Linked DNA regions of Caenorhabditis elegans. The protein of the gene in region 2 purifies or fractionates together with the protein of the main gene of each other region. This does not show direct contact. Each region holds a gene or a part of one and is shown on either strand. Other genes may lie near its edges.

Region 1 (5,080 bases), on a different chromosome or scaffold from region 2:
ACCGTCCGTCGCGACTACTGTCAAATTTACAGTATCTCCAAATGAACTAATTGACAGGAATTCCGGATGCAAAATTGACAGGATTCCTTCTTTCGGATGAATTGAGAATAGGCCGGATGCATCCCGAAGCGAATATAGAACCTCTGAACTTCCACCTTTTGTCGAGATTTTCACGAGATGGTCTTGCTCTCCGGTGTGCTCTTCGATTGTGGTTTGGTAGAGTTTTTGGGCCATTTTAAGAGAGGATTTCTGGAAAAAGAACAGATTTTTAGAAAAGACACAATTTTAAGTGTTTCCATCTTATAAAAATCCCTTTAAACACTTCAGACAATTTTATATTTCGGCAAATCGGCAAACCGGCAACTTGCCGATTTGCCAAATTTGTCGACCAAAAAAATTTGCCGAAAGCTAAATGCCGCTCACCCCTGATTCAAAACTTTCTGAAATTTTACCTTTTCCTCTTGAAAAGTGAGCAAGGCCTCCACGTGGTTCTCCCCATTCCGTAGCACCAAAATCACCACAAACGGAAACGTAACCTCACATGGCGTGTCCGCGTGGCATGGTACTGTATTCAGAATAATTTTGTCGTCTTCAAAAGTGGCAGTGACTCGTTGAGCGTAACTTCCGAGAATGTCTAGTTCCGAATTCGGTGGAATTGGTGAGCTTACTCTCACAATTGCAGTTTCTTTTTCTTGGAAATCAGATTTTACGACGAAGTTTGAAATTTCTGGAATTGATGGGAGATCCGAGGAAGCTTCAACCTCAAAATTGATGGTCTCTTCTTGAACTTTGCCGGAGATTACACCGATTGCTTGGAGCTAAAAAAAATGTATTTTTGAGGTGGCTCTTTCACATAAAAACCCTACCTTAACCTTGCTCTTCCCACTATCAAATGCATTTTTGTTCACTAAAATGAATTTAACAGGCTGACCAGCATCAATTATTGAGCCATTTATTGCAATTGGGGACGGATTTGTGCCTTCAAGCTCTAAGTTAAGAGCTTCGTCAATGTCCTAAAAAAATTTTTAAAAATTCTTTCATTACAAAAAAATTCTTGTAAAAATTCTTGTATTTTAAAAAATTCTTGTATTTTTTAACATAGTAAAAATTAATATAATTAGATCATCGAGTGATCTCATAAAATTTAGAGTTTCGGAAGTTTTTTAAAATTTAATACTACAATTCCAATCAGGGGCGGGCGGCTAACAATTTTTCAGGCAAATCGGCAACTTGCCGGAATTGAAAATTTCCGGCAAATTGGCAAACAGGCAATTTACCTGTTTGCCGAACTTGCCGAAAATTTTCGGCAAATTGTGGTTTGCACATTTTTTCTGGAAACTTCAGAATTTGAATTTTAAGTATTTCCGTCTTAGAAAAAATCCCTCAAAAAATTTCCTGCAAATTGATATCCGACAATTAGTCGATTTACCGATTTGCCGACTTGCCGGAAATTTTAATTCATTGCAACTTGCTCATTTGCTTATTTGCTGGAAATTTAGATTTTTGGCAATTTGCCTATGTGCCGATTTGCCGTTTTGCCGATTCGCCAAAGAAAAAAGTTTGCCGTCCACCTCTTGTTCAACTTTTAAAATTCAGAAAATACATATGTTCTTTATAATTTATTTTTGCTATTTCATCAAAATGACTCTAAGACCTTTAAGATATCTATTGGATAATCCAATTGACCCTATTATGTAATCACTTCCTATCTCTGTCTTTTTTCTTGGTTTCGGCAATAATCATTAATCACCGCACTTGTCTTATCAAATTTTTCTTTCATGAATCTCTTGATGGTTTTCTTGACGGACAAGTGAGACAAAAATCGAACACGCGAATTGGGTCAAAAACAACAAGTTTGCGTAGTAGGTAGGGTGGAGTGTGTGTGGGGTAGTGATTAAGCCTTGAAGGTTTTGGAACATTAGTGATAGGTAGGTGATTAAAAATTACCTAATGGATAGGGGATCGTAATTTGTCTTACTATTAGAATTTTTCTACAAGCTCAAACATTTTCAAGCGCACATTTTTGCCAATATTGAGAATTTAGTTTTTAGTTGAGATTTTGCATAGTCAATTTGAAGATTTATCAAAATTTTCAGTAAAATCTTTAGCAAATCGGCACATTTTTTTTTTGGCAAATCGGCACGAAAATTGGACACAATTTAGGTTTATTTAAATTGACTCAAAAAAATTTCAAAAACTTGTTTAACTTTTTTCTTGGATATTTAGTTATTTCAGCATTAGATAAAAAAAATTGTATCTTTTAACTTTTTTAAAACTCACCTCAGAAGCCCTTATAAACTCGGGTCCTATTATAAGATCACCTTCTTGAGCATTTCTCGGTATTTTGAATGTTGTGGATGGAATTGAAAGGAGGTCTGGAAAAATTTGAAATGAGGGCTTAACAATAATATAAATGTAGTGCGATTGCAAGTTTTTTGCAAACCCGTGAGATGTCGGCTGCCAAAGTTTTGTGACGTATTGTGAGTGGCAAATTAAAATATTTCAAAATCTCATTTACCAAGAAGAATAGACCATAAATTTCATGTTTGATTTAATTTGTTCAGTTTTCCAAAAAAAAAATTGAACATTCTAAGATCATTAAAAAATTACAACTTCAAATTCTGACCAAAAAATTCATAAATTCACAACAATTTCAAAAAGAGAAACTAAACTGCCTGCATGTCTTCAAAGTATTTACAAAGTATCAAACAATTTTATGCGAGTTCAGGTAAAAATGCAGACATTTAAAATAGGCAGGCAGGCATGAAATCGTGCCTGCCTACAACAGAAGCCTAGAAAACAAGTTTGAAAAATCTCACCTCCATAAACCAAAAGAGGTAGTAACAGTAGTAATAAAATGCCTTCTTCCCGCATACCTCACCAGGTGTTCCGTCTTTTTTTTTATTCGACAGCCGGTATCTCTTTTACCTTCCCGCAATAGATAGTTAAGCAGGAAAAAGAAAATGAACCTTGTGCAGAACAGTGAGAAAGAAAAAACAAGGGCGGCAAATGGAAGAAGGGAGTGAAGCGCCGCGGTAAAAATCATTTGAAATAGGTCATCTAGTGAAGAAGATCAGATACTTGCTGCTAGCCGTTGGAAGAGACTTGGTAGAAAAGAAGTTGAATTTTTCACGGAACATTTTTTGGGGGAAGGCGAGATGGTATCTGGAACAAGAGTTTGAAACGGATGCCTTTTTATTGAGGGTTGAAACATGGGGTCTAAGTTTTTTCCAGTTTTAGCCAGAGAAGGCAATATTAGAAGCTCTAATAAAGCAAAGTCTTCAAAAAACTGTTCTGAAAAATTTCTATCAAATGTTGCTCAAAAGTGCAAATGTTGAAAGAATGTAGTGCATCTGTACACCATCAAAAACAATTCCTTGCTCAACTAAAATCACAAAAATATAAAAAAAATTCTGGATTCTACAAAATTTGGTCTTTTTAGTGTATTTTAAATCGCCATAAAATATTTTGTTGAGAATTTTTGAGAAGTCATACACAGGAGGGAAAAATCTACGTTTGTGATCTACAAAAAATTTCGTTTTCGGCAGACTGCTGATTTGCCGATTTGCCGGAAATTTCTAATTTTGGCAAATTGCCGATTTGCCGTTTGCCGGATATAAATTTGTCGGAAGTCTTGAGAGGGATTTTTTAATAATACTGAAACACTTAAAACTGTGCCTTTTTATTTTTTCCCCTTTTCTTTAGATATTTTCAGATATTTTGCTTATTTCAAAATAGATGTAGAGACATTTAAAAAATGCATACAACTTTGCCGATTAAAATTGAAATTTGAAATTTTTAAAAAAAATATGCAAACTGCAATTTGCCGAAAATTTTCGCCACTTGCTTTTTTCCGGCAAGAATCGACAAAATGTCGGTTTGTCGATTTGCCGTTGCCGGAAAACATCGTGTGCCGCACACCCTGCATCTTTTTTAATTGAGCCGTTTTTAAGATAAATCCCATTTAAAATTGCGACTACTGTAGAAATTGATGTATGGAAGTAGGGTTTGCCTCCCCGCGCACATAATGAAGTTTGGTATATTTTTCAAACCAACATTAATTTTGGTGCTACTCCACCTTTGAATTTGGTAGCACACTAATATTATAGAATTAATAATTTTAAAACTCGGGCAAATTAATTTTTTTTTCGCAGCTCTTAATAGTCTCGCACAGACTACTTGCCGCCAGAACTTTGTGGAAATTACAATGAATTCTTAATTTTTATTTTGGTTTTAAACGGCATATAAGATTTTGTTACATATCGATTTTCCAAGGATATGGAATATTTCAAAATTAGCTTTGCAGGATCTAATGTTCTAACAGTCTCCATAAGTTTTGCATTATTACAGATTTATTCAAATTACTCCTGAGAGCAAGAAATATGGAATATTCATATCAGGGGTGTGCGGCAAAATTGCCGATTTTGACAAGCACGGAAAATTTTAAATAAGCATATTTGCCGAATTTGCCGCACGTTCCTGATTCATATATACTTTGTTCGATGATGTAAAAACTACATAAACATTCATCATCATTCAAACCTCAATATCTCAAACCTAATAACTTATTTTTAATTATGACAAGTTTCAAGTATACGGTAACAAAGGGCAAAGTATTTTTCAGAAACAATCGGATTTCTGAACAACAAAATGATGCAAATATATTTTGTCCCCAACAGGCGGTCGATCGTACTCTGCATTCCGTATTAAGTGACTAACCACGTGGGAAGGAAAAGATGTCTGATCTTAGAAGAAGGTGGAGACAATTGTCATCATGACTGGATTACTGTAGGTGTCTGTATTTAAGTTGGAAATAGTCTTTTGATGTTTTATTGTTTAGTGGCAGTGTTTGCACCTTAGTGGTTTGAACGATGTTTTGAAATATCCATTTTTCGAACACGTGTTGTGGTTTGGCGGTATATCTATTTTGGAATGTTATACTGCGTTGGAAAAATATTAACTTACTGTATTTCCTCTAGCAAAGCTATTTCTCAACTGAGGGATGCGAGACTAATATAAAAAATACGATCGTGCCTTCCCTTTTTACTTCAATTGCCTATTTTCAAGGTTGAGTTAGATT
Region 2 (8,080 bases):
TGACAGCTCAAAAATGATGGATACATTATTGAAACCACTTCAACTCATTCGACATTTCACGACGTTTGCATTTTAATTTATTCCGTTTTGTTATGCATTATTGCGGGCTTTCTTTCTCCTCCTTCTCGTCATTTTTCCTTTTATTTTTTTTCTAATTTTCTTCAATTTATTTTATGATGTCTTTCCTTGTGCTCTCAGCTTCAACTAATATGCGAAACCTAATTAAACAACTTCCTTATGATGCAACAAACATCATTCACACTCATCTCTACGGATGAAACCGAAAATAACTAGTCATTTACTGTATAGGTCGTTTAACATATTTTTCGGCAGAATAAACATTTTTGAATTACCTCTCCAGTATTACCCCTTACACTAACGGCGGCTTTTATCTAACTCAGAGACCGAAAAACGAAACGTATTATTAATTATCAATTTTCAATTATTTAAGAGTGGTTTTGGGTTTTGTTCCAGTGATAAAATGTATTGTAATACAAAATATAATTTTTATAAAAAAATAAGAAAAACAAATAAAAAGCCGAATAAAGTCATATAGAATCTTTTTCTCAATGATTGGAAAAAATATATATCTGAACACAATAAAACCTATAAGAACTTTCATTGGTAACCCGAGAAAATGATGAGTGCTTGGGACTTTGGGCAGATTTAAAGAGAAGAAATCTTGAATGTTTATATTCAAATAAGAAAAATTTAAAAAAAAATAAATTGAAAATCATAGTTGATCTGTAGAATCTGAAGTTGTATACCAGAAAATTGGAGATTGAAAATGAGCGTTTTGGAAGAAAATGATTGAACTTTGAAAATTGTTAATTTGAAGAAATAACAAAGTGGTGTAATTAAAATCGATTTTGGTTGAAAATGTTCTTACTTTATAAAAGCAGTTCTGCCACTGCAACTGCTAGGCTCAAAGAAAAACATTTTTCGACCAACTTCAACTTTTAACACCACTCCGATCGAAATATCAAAAAAAAATCAAAGGAAAGAATTGTTGCCTATGTCATGATATTCATAGCGACTCCGGCTCGAACAGCACATTGAGCATGAAATGTAGGAAAGGAAGGACCTTCGGAACTGATGATTTGTGAACATGTAGATCAAAAACTTGCAACACGGACCAGACACCGCTAACCACACGAAGAAGAATGTGAGCTGGAAACATTTCAAAATTAATTTTTCAGATTTAAGACTGCACTTACCATTGATAAATCCATATCAAATGGGCCCCATATTAATTCGCACACCTTCAATGTAATCAATGGAAGCCATGACAAGAAAAATGTGACAAACAGAAAACCAGTTAATACAAAGTTTGGGTCTGTTTCCACGAGCATTCTTTGACTATCATCAAGCTGAAAATTTAATTTTTTTTCCTCAATAGTCAGTCGATTTTCAAATTTACCGCTGCAGGATTTCTCATAGCTGACCAGATTTTCCAGCCTGTGTTAAAGACGGTTACTAAAGTTGGTACAAAGACAAGTAGGAGTAAGGTCACACTGTATGCAGATGTTGCGGACCAGTCCAGGACACATAACTGCGCGTCGGGATAGAACACAACCTGTAAAATGAAATTGAATTGGAAATGTTAAATAGCAGGTGAATCTAAAATTTTTACCATTTTGTGCTTGTCGGACTAGCCTAAAATCATATATTATATTGGTAGTTTATTTCATGTTTTTTCATTGATTTTAAGATCAGTTATTGGCCGATGAGTGCAGAAATTTGGTACCATTTTGTATAATCATTAACTTAAAAAAACTTAAATCTATGGCTTCATGTTTGAAGTAAATGAGTAATAGACAAAATTGAAGATTCTAGGTGAATCAGAATTTTTATTCGCCCCTTTTTGTGAGTGATTTTAATTGTTAAAGGTGGAGTAGCGCCATTGGGGAATTAGTTTAAATACACTTATTATGTTCCAAAACGACCGAATATCATAATAAAACACGGCAAAAAAATTTTGATTTTTCATAATTTCCGGTCAAAGTTTTGGCAAAAACGGTTAATGGCCAAAATTTTGAAAAACATGAGTTTTCGAGGAAATACAAAGCAATTTTGCATGTTCCGACCCCTGCAATGATTTAATACAAACAATTTAAACAAAATAACAGCATAAAAAATGTAGAAAAACATTTTTTTTTTGGACGACTTCCAAAATTATGAGTGGCGAAAATTGAGTAATTGTCACTATTTGACAGTAAATAAAAAATTTTCAAAAAATGTTTGAAAAGTTTTATTGTGATATTTGGTCATTTTGGGACCAAAGAAGTGGTTTTTAACAATTTCCCCACTGGCGCTACTCCACCATTAAGTAATAAAAAATATTCGCTTTTTCACTAACGTTCATACTTAAACAGTTCCAATTTGAAAACGCACAGTACATTCCTACTGGACATTTGTCAGTTGTACGCAACATTATAGGCTGGATATTGTTTTCTACCTATGTTTGCAAATAAAAATACAATTTCGACCTATGAAAATTGATTTTGAAATGCAAGATTTACGTTTCCTACAGGGTGCCCCAAAAAATGGGAACCCAAGTACTGCACACAGAAAACACGATTTGAGAACGTTTGAAACCAGACATTTTTGTTTAACTAATAGCTGGCATATTTTCATCTATTTTTTTCTTACTATCAGTTAACATAAAAACCAAAAGAATTTGGAAACCTAGTGGATTGAGCGCAGTCGAATCTTTTTTCTTGACGCGTCCCAGAGCCACTATTTCATTGGGATTACTATGAAAAATTGTTGTTAGTCTTGATATTCTAGTATATCATGGTATAACAAGACTAATTAAAAAATAATTTATTATCCAACGTCATGAATTGTCAGATTTGTAATAATTTATTTTTGAAATATTACCTACTTTTTTGAAAATTAATTTCAAAAACATATGAATTTTGGAACCCATCGGGAAATCATCGAATACTAACCTGCATTCTTGCAACAATTATTGGGCAGCATAGAAGCATTGAAGTTAACCAACTAAACACTATCCAACACTTGCACCTAGTTAGTGACTGCTCGCTATATCGTGATGGCTTCATCATTGCAGAGTACCTAAAATTCAAATTCTTTTTTTTTTCAAATAATTCCTCCGTTCCCCTTTTAAATATTATATAGTATAAAAGAGCAAGTGTAAAAAGGGTAGATTTGTCATCACCATGCAATTTTGCTTTCCGTTTCCGTTCTTACCAAAAAGGAAATATACAATCGTCATTATATAACCAACCTATCGATACATATCCATGCGAAAGTGTAAACGGTGGAGCAGAAAAGTGCAATTTGGAGATAGGCCGCACTTTTGCAAATGATCGAATTGTCGCCACCGATTCGCCAGTTGCCTTCCAAAGTTGAATAGATGCTCAGGGGGATGACGAAGATTGCGGTTAGCAAATCCGCCACTGATAGGGATATCTGGAAATAAAGAATTAATTGAGAATTGTGTTCTGCATATTATTACTGTTTTCAAGTTGTGAATTTAGAGGTTCAAACCCGCGCAGCTACTCACTTTTTCACACCAAAATGTTTTCTTCAGAAACAGAAATGTGTGCCTAATTGAATTCAACCCAGTTTAGGTTTTCTCAGAGTCTGATGCAGAACCTCCATCTCGTTAACATTCACACCCCCGACACACAAAAATGACAATCAACACTATGTGCCAAGTTAGGTCGCTTTTGCAAGTTGATTATGACCGCATTTTGAAATAAGAAATTTATATTATAGTTTATTCAAATAATTTCCCATTAAAATTTGTAAATTCCGAACTCAATTTTGATCCTAATTATTCATCTCCTCTCTCCTGTCTAGAAAGCAGACTATACATTTGGAGAAAACAGAAAAAAAGAAGACGACAAGGAGCAATATATGAGAGGAGGTTTAATGCTTCTTTTGCACATAAATTAAGAGGCCACACATGATGAAATAGCATTGCGCCATGAAAGCATCGCGCGCGCGATGGATCATACGCAAAGCGTTCTGAGAAATTGGGAAACGGAGAAAAATAAATGAATAGTCGGGTAGGAGATGAAGAATTAAATTTGAGGAAATTGGGTTTTATGATCTGCATCACGTCATTTTACGGGCTTTAGGCTCTAAATTGTTGGAAATATTAGATCAGCTTTCTTTAAAAATTTTTGTCTAGAATTGAACAAAATTTTATTGCAAGCTAGATTTTTATATTTTAATTCTTGAATAAAACATAGAATCGACGAGGAAAATGAAAATGTGAGAACTATACGACAATGAGCAAAAAATGATGTAAATTCACGTGACGCCTTTGGTTCATAGGTACATTTTTTTAAATCAAAAAGCTAGAAATAAATATATTTTTTGGTCAGTGCTGTGATTAGTAAGTTGTAGGGCTCCCAGGTGATTGAGGCGCAAAATGCGGGCCTCAAGCCGACGCCGCGCGCCGCTGTGTGTGTGTGTGTGTGTGTGTGTGTGTGTGTGTGTGTGTGTGTGTGTGTGTGTGTGTGTGTGTGTGTGTGTGTGTGTGTGTGTGTGTGTGTGTGTGTGTGTGTGTGTGTGAAGTGCGAAAGGTAATTTGGAGCGGCCGACAAGCTCGGGGTTCCGCAGATTGGCGTGAAACGAGTGTGTGCACAACGTAGTCCATTGGGGTGATTGTTTGGAAGCGACCGACACATTCGGGGTCCGCGCCGTACTATACATTTGAAGACATGCAGTGATCTCATGGGAGCCATAGTGAGTTGTTTTGAAATTGGTAACATCTTACTATTGGCAGGTCTTAAAACTTTGTGAACAATAGTTTAGAGTTTTTTCTCAAGTAATAAGATTATTGTTTGTTTGAACTAATTTTCAAAAGATAAAGATTTCTTTTAAATTTTTAAAAAATACGGACGTTTTTTTACCTTTAGCAGTGAGCGAAACACCAACAAAAACTCAATTTTTAAAACTCATTTGCTGACCGTTAATTTGCAGCTTTTGTGAACTTGTGAGAAAAAAGTTTACGTGCAACAAACTAGAAACAAAAGTTGTTTTGCAACAAACTAGAAACAAAAGTTGTTTTTCCAACAAAAAAGTCACGAAGTTGGAAAAATGACTACATACAGATTTTTTCCTTCTTATGATGCATTAAAAATGAGAACCTTATGGAGAAAAAGCCAACGATTTTAGAAGCCACTGGGGACATGGTAATAGAAAACGGGGCAAATTTTTTATGCTCTTTTGCTTTTGTATGCGTTTTTTTTTATTCAAGCGGATTTACTCACCAAATAACATCCGATAACGTCAGACAAGTCCGGGGTGAACGCGATGACAGTGATGTTGAGAATCGATGTGACAAAAAGAAGCAAGTCGACGGCGAGGATGAGAGACGCACGTCCCAACGACTCCGCGGTCAGACTGCGAACATCGACAGGCGGCCACATACTCGGGCTCGTCGTCCACAGTGCCACCTGAAAGTTTGTGAAAGGTTAAGCTGGAGGTTGAGCAAGAAAAATGAAAATCTAGTAGAAATTTCTCGGCAGCTACTCAAAAGAAAAGTTTTTCAAGTGCACGTTGTAATAAATCATGGGCCGTGTATGTGTAACTATGGTAATTTCGTTTCAACGTTTTTTGAAGAGTTCGTTTAAAACATCAAGGTGTTGCCTTTTTTTGTTGCTTCAAAATATACAGGGTGGTGTTAACCCAGTTGTGTTAACGAAGGTGTCCTGGGATGTTTTTTGAAAACTTCGTAATATTTGTCATGTTAGCCGAAATGATATTTATCAGCTATCAAAGAAAATAGGGGCTCTGAAATACAATTTTATGCTGCTGAATATGTGTTAGCCATAAACATCAGATCCTCGATTTAACCCTCAAAATGAGAACAGGTGATTTATGTATATCACATTTTTATTTAAATTTTCAGTTCACAATCTTATTAGACTACCGTATGAAAAAAAAAAACTTCTCACCTTGTGCCTAATGAGGCCATTCAGGTTCCCCAATGAGAAAACCGAAGGTGTGCCAGTCTCGATGTTGTCTTGGTTATCACTCTGTAGATCAAATTGTAAGTAGGTGACGCCAAAGTTGCGGATTATTGGTTCGACACCGGCACGACCACCCTATCGCTGTTCTTTCTGTAATTTTTGAGTTTCGAGAAGTGCTCGAGCAAGAAACGGGAGAGGCAATTTTAAATAAAAGGTTAATTTGGCTAGAATTGACAAACTGAAATTCAATCATATTCAAAGAAATTCTGTTCAAACCAAACCAGGAAACAAGTTTGGCAGGTGCTGAAGTTCTCAGAAACATCCTATGATGGATGTAAATAGAAAAAAAGTGTGAATATGTGCCGGAGTGTAACACAGAAAATTGTGCATTGCACCAGGACACCACCACCAGAAGAGACACGAAGACATAGTTGGTCAAAGGAAGATAAGATGGAGTCTTCTAGTCGTGGTCGTCGTGGCTTTCGGATTTAGCGTGGGACCTCCCCGCCACAATCAGAGAGGAGCCAATTTGCGTTCTGCCCCACAAATGGCTCACTCGCCTCACCAACAAAGGACACATCGTTTTCGTTTTCGGAAAAGAAAACGGATTGCGACATGGGAGAGGAAAAGAAGAGTAAAAGATGGATAGAGATGGGGGCCCAAAAACGGACCACCGCCGGGGAAAGACGAGTGAGAGAAGAAGGCGAAAGGAGAAGAAGGATAGGAAGTGAATATCTGCTGGCTGGAATGCAAAATGTTCGTAAGTTGATACTAATGGCGATGACCACATATTTTGTTGAATTTTCAACTTTTAGGGAATTAGTATTTTTTTGAAAAGTGAATGGGACTGTATCTGGAGACTTAGATGTTTCTACAACATTCCTAATTACAGTTAATACATCTGACCGGAAATACAGTGAATAACGAAAGAACAAGGATGGAACACTTGAAAGAATTACAAAAAATTTTAACTCTAACATTTTTTGTTACGTTACTTTACCGTTAATCAAAATCTAGAAATTAAATTTTTGTATAAGGTTTTGAAAACTTTATCACAATTTTAAAGGTGGAGTACCGAAATCTAGGAAATATTTTTAATTGATCAAAATTTTCCCCTGGTTCCGAATATAGATGTAAAAAATTCAAAAAAATTTTCCTGATTCTATATTTAAACTGGAAATCACGATTTTAATTTGTGCCTCGGGCTCTTTTTTCAAATTAGTGCTCAAAGAAATTCGCATTCGAGCGCGTTTGAATTGTAATCGAATTCAATTTTTTTAACCAGTTTCATTCATTCTGGTCGAAAAAAAAATTTCCGAGAAAAACCGACGATGAAAACTTGACGAAAATTAATCACACTGGTTTAAAAAAATGAATTCGGCAAAAATAAATAAAATAAACTAAGAAAATCAAAAAATGCAAGCGCGCTCCAATGTGAATTTCTTTTGGCGCGTATTTGAAAAAAGAGACCGAGGCACAAATTAAAATCATGATTTCAAGCTTAATTATATAATCAGGAAACCTTTTTTGCATTTTTTCACATTGATATTCGGAATCAGGGGAAAATTTGGAGTCAAATAAAAATATATCCCAGGTTTCGGTACCCCACCTTTAAAAAGTTTACACACAAAAAAATTTTCAATTAATAAATGGAAAATTTGAAAATTTATCGGTTTTTTTTTTGCTGCAAATTTCAGAGCTGTTCCGCGTATTTGAACTACAAAGAAAAAAAATTATCAGGTTTGATAGTTTTAGCATGATAGAAAAAGAACAATCAGATTTTTGAAAAGACAAAACCCGAAAAACGAACAAGCATGAATAAAAGTGATAATTATAATAGAAAAATTTGTTTGTTTTTCACTTTGAGAAAATTAAAATGCTATATTATCACGTTTTCCCTGAAAACACGCTTCAGCCATAACCAAATTTTCAGAAATAAAATGACTCATAGTGGAATCACGCTTTAATAGAAATTTTAGGTTCCTGGGAAAAAGAAGTGAGACAGAATGGAGAAGGGGGGATCGAAAAGAAAAATGACAAATCGGTTTGGCCATTCGGTGGGAAACAGGAACCTCCAATGACGTTTCGAATGGGAGTTCAGAAATCTTGGCAGTAGGCCAATTTGA
Region 3 (4,499 bases), 6.9 Mb from region 2:
CTTTTTGACTCTAAATATAAAATGATAAAAATTTTCCGAATTTCGAAAAGTTTTACAACGTATGATATTTAATAATTTCGGCACCTTAAAAGTGGTTTTTATTAATTTCCCCACTGGCGTTATACACCTTTAACTACATTATTTAAAATAATTTTTTTCAAAAATGACCTACAAAGTTATTTCAAAACGAAATTTTCACAAATATTTTTTAAAAAGTCTATGGTTTCCAACATTAATGTAAAACTATAATGTGTTATTCGTGGTAAGGAAAAATAGACCATGAATGCTAGAAAATATGATTTTTTCGTGTTTATAAATCAATAAAACGTCAGCTTGAGTGGGTTTAACCTTTCATTCAAAGAAACATCAACATCAGCATCTACCGTCTAAAACTGTGACTCACGTCAGAACGACTCAAAGGATTCTCCGCATTTCGAACTGTCTGTTCAAATATTTACCGCCGCAGATTCGCTGAAAACAGATTTCTTATTGTTTGTTGCGCGCTGCTTCTCTTTCATCACTATTTGCTTTTTAACTTTGATGGGGATCGTGGTGAAAAGAGTATTTATTATTGGGTTTGTTGAAGATTACACCGGAACAAAAATGTAAAAGAAGGCATTGAAACACACTCTAAAATACAAAGATGGATTTGAAAATTAGGGGAAAATGAACAGTTAGGGGTAAAATGAAAGAATTGTCAGCAGCGTTTTTTTATTTGTGATGATGAGGTGGGGTATGATGACGGTTGGAGCGTTTAGGCTGGAACGGCCTCGGCAGCAGCTTCACTATCTGGGATCACAACCTCCTGAAAATAATATTGTTTAGAGAAAATGTATGAATCGTGTACTTACAGCTCCCTCATTTGGATTTTGGCTTTGAACTGGTCCATCTTCAAACTCCTTATCTGGAACTTGAAGTGGAATTGGGTTGACTGGTGGCTTGGCTGCATCTCCCTCGGCTTTCACTTGTTCGACGTACTTTGGTGGTTCAAGGTTCTTTCTGGAAAAACGAACGAATATTTTTCATTTTTCTTTAAACACACACCTGATCTGTTCAAGTTCCTCGTTCTCTTTGCGTCCCCATTCTGCTGGCGGCCGGGATGTTCCGTGGACAAGGGTGTAGGCTGGCTTGACGAATGGGTTTTCGAAGAGGTAACGACGATCACCATATGATCTTCTGTCAGTCTGACGATCGAACTTGGAGGCTGTGGTGATCTTAGGTGGATGGACGGAAGAGGCGGCTTCCTCTGGGTCAAGTCCTTTCTTGAGGGCCTTGTTACGAGCAACTTGGCGTTGACGCTCGTTGAGCTCTTTCAACTGAAATAATTTTTTGGGTTTGAAAGATTTGGAAATTTATGAATTTAAAAAATTAAACCCGACGATAAAAGCTACTCACGTCGTACTCTTGACGCTCACGTCTCTTTTCCAAATCGTACTTTTCTCCCTCAAGCTTGACAATACGGGCATGAATTCCCTTGATTCTCTCCTTCAAATCGTTTGGCATGAGTGTTGAAACATCTTGGGCCTTGCAAACAACGTTCAAAAAAGCTCTCTTGGCGTCCTCTTGTTGTTCTTTGGTGAGTCCTTCAGCCTTGGCTCCTTGAGCAAGGTTTCCGAAGTTGGCGGCTTGATCGCCCTTGTTGGAAACAGTGAAGTTCTTTCCTCCTGGGGCTCCAACGGCAGCTCCGGCGAATGATCCAGCCATCATTTGCTGACGACGGGACTTCTCCTCGTTCTTGCGAGCCTTCTCCGCATCAGCCTTAGCTTTGCGATCTTCCTCGTCCTTGCGACGTCTCTCTTCATCTTGACGTCTTCTTTCGGCAAACTGACGCTCGTCTTCCTCACGCTCAGCACGACGTTTCTCTTGTTTTTCTTTAAGCTCACGGAGCTCTTGCTCCATTTGCTCCTTTTCGAGAACACGGCGTTGTTCGTAATCAAGAAGCTTGGCGGCTTCCTCTTCCTCGTGACGTTTCTTTGCTGCCTAAAAATTTCCAAAATATTCTTGAATCAATTTGAATAGATTGATAAATTCAATTCTAATCGACTGTTGAAAAAATGATAAACAAAATATATATTTCTAGAAATACAGAATCAGTTCTATAGTTATAACTGATGTTCCATTACTTCTCTAAATTCGATCTACCCCTTTACACCCCTGTTTCAATACTTCTACTCAGTCAATATCCATAAATTCCAATTACTCACAAGCATGGCAGCTTCAGCCTCAGTCATCTCTGCTGGTGGCTTCTCCTCCTGAACTGGTGGACGTGGCTTTGGTTTCTCCTCGACTGGAGCTTCCTCTTCGGCGGCTTCTGGCTCTTCCTCTTCAGCAGCAGCATCTTCGGCGGCGGCTTCCTCTTCCTCGACCTCCTCGGCCAGGGACTCTTCTACTTCCTCCTCCTCTTCACCGGAACTTAAATTATATAAACTTTAGTAAATTAGATAATTTATAAAAATTATGGATTCCAAAATTTCAAATTTTAAATTTTGCAACTATCACAAAAAACTCACAGCACTTCCTCTTCGTCAGACATGGTTATCACTGAAAAATTTTAAGTATTTAAAGTTTCTATCAGAAAAACAGTAAAAGATTTTTTAAAAAAGTAGGTAAAGCCGAAAAACAAAAAAAATTCAAAACTAATTATTTTGCTCAAATACCAAAACTTAATTCTAAGTTACAAACTGCCTGAACACGTCTTCCGTTTCTGTGTCCAAGTTGGAATGAACAATAGAAATGTGTGGTTTCGGTAAGCCACCCCTTGAGCCTCCTGCCATCCAGTTCCCGGATTGTGGGGCGGGGCCGTTGGTGCCATTCTTTTTCATCTTCTCTTCCCGTTGCTCTCCTTATCGTTGTGTAACTTGTAACGAAGCGAGTCCGCCGGCGCCGAGAGATCACATCTCTCGCGGGATTCGAAAGAGAAGATGGACCAAACAAAAACGACGGGTAGGCGGAGGTGTGCGTTGTAAACCTTGCCGATGAGCACACGGCAGCGACTTTGCCTCATGAAGAGGAAATAGATAGAAGAAGTGAAAAGAGCACAAATTACTGCTTGCTTTCTGTTTCTTGAAAGATAGAGAAGCAGCCGACGAGGAAGAAGAAGACAACAAACAACTTTTTGGGTTTTGCTATCTCTAGTCTTCTGGTTCTCCACGGGCTCCCGCGACTCGTCGCTTAGTCCGGAATAAATCTTCCGTCACCACATGGCCTAGAGATACGGGGGATTGTGATGTTTCGGTGAGAGACAGAAAACAAAAAATGAGAAAAAGTTTAAGAACAGCGAGTTGTGTTCTAAGCAAGGGCTGACAGAAAATCCAGGGACTTGGATTACACTCATCGTGTTTTTAATGATATATTCGGAACAGAAATTCAACAATAATGTTCATGGGAAACAAGGTAATGTTGAAAAATGTGTATTTGTAGAAAAAAGCCTATAATGTGATTTGAATCAATATGACAAGAACAATCTCAGATTAATTGGAGTGCAATACCATATTTGGTTTCAAAAATCTATCCAAACTAGTTGCTTGAAATCTTATTACACCATCGATTTCAAATGTTTCAAGCAATTGAATTTGACAATATATGCTCAAAATATCAAACTTTCTGGTTTTTACAGAAATCAGATTTTTGCTGGATCTTTTAAAGTTGTTGTATTGAACAATTTAATTAACATTTATGATCTGCATTGGTTTCTGCAGCAAATGTGTTTTAATGGACTTTGCATAAAATTTTATTATATCACTAATTGCATATGCTTTAGTTCATTTAATAAATTGATAAAGGATTAATGTAACTTCTGAGTTTTTTGCAGTTTTTAATTTAGGAAGGCGTTTTTTACATACTCTCTATTCTCGATATCACCTTATTGAATCTTAATGCCTTTGAAATCTTAACGATTTTTTCTACAAATCGGTTTTCTCGAAATAGTTTCAATCCTTCTATCATCTTGTTCTCTTCACGCTTTATGTGATTGTGTTGTTTGTGCGACGATTGCTCAATCTCACGATGAGCACAAATTGAAATATGTATTTGTAATGTCATTTATTTAAACTTTCCAGTGATGCTTTTGATAAACTACCTAGATTTTTGTTTTGCGTTTTTTTTTCTCAGGAAAACGAGAAAACATAAATATCGAGTTACTCGTTGCCGCAACACACGTGAGCCGTTGCGCTGTGATTGATTATGGAGAAATAAAACCTGCCTTGTCATGAATTTGAATTTCCCCGCTTTCTGTCTATGAATCCGTAATTTTTTATAGTTCTGTTCAGTTCTTACCTGTTCAGTTTTTTGGCACACTGGAAACTGTTCAACAGTATCAACAAATAAGTGATGATTATCACTTGCGCATAGTTTTTTGATTGATAAATAAATGATTTCAAAACAAAGAAAATATTCCAAGTTTTTTGGTTTTTAGACAATCCGATTTTTAAGATTTTTTTTTTTGGAATATCTTACGAACTTCTTTCTACCGAATTTTTTTGATGGGGAAAGTGTGACGA

What was found.
Region 1: the proteins of pcdr-1 (region 2) and cdh-7 fractionate together in Caenorhabditis elegans (co-fractionation; one large-scale study listed by BioGRID). This does not show direct contact.
Region 3: the proteins of pcdr-1 (region 2) and tnt-2 fractionate together in Caenorhabditis elegans (co-fractionation; one large-scale study listed by BioGRID). This does not show direct contact.

Annotation. Positions count from the first base shown.
Region 1 is NC_003280.10:14,841,122-14,846,201, reverse strand, and holds the start of cdh-7 (Cadherin domain-containing protein), read right to left. Parts: upstream 3,026-5,080; 5' UTR 2,875-3,025; coding exon 2,820-2,874; intron 2,376-2,819; coding exon 2,281-2,375; intron 1,014-2,280; coding exon 867-1,013; intron 819-866; coding exon 453-818; intron 250-452; coding exon 1-249.
Region 2 is NC_003284.9:15,664,785-15,672,864, reverse strand, and holds pcdr-1 (Melatonin receptor pdcr-1), read right to left. Parts: upstream 6,105-8,080; 5' UTR 5,940-6,104; intron 5,439-5,939; 5' UTR 5,412-5,438; coding exon 5,253-5,411; intron 3,439-5,252; coding exon 3,254-3,438; intron 3,082-3,253; coding exon 2,955-3,081; intron 1,577-2,954; coding exon 1,421-1,576; intron 1,371-1,420; coding exon 1,218-1,370; intron 1,171-1,217; coding exon 994-1,170; 3' UTR 495-993; downstream 1-494. Other genes in the region: F59D12.2 (uncharacterized protein), read left to right, coding at 1-17.
Region 3 is NC_003284.9:8,721,010-8,725,508, forward strand, and holds tnt-2 (Troponin T), read right to left. Parts: upstream 2,542-4,499; 5' UTR 2,534-2,541; coding exon 2,511-2,533; intron 2,413-2,510; coding exon 2,205-2,412; intron 1,981-2,204; coding exon 1,396-1,980; intron 1,317-1,395; coding exon 1,045-1,316; intron 1,000-1,044; coding exon 852-999; intron 806-851; coding exon 755-805; 3' UTR 537-754; downstream 1-536.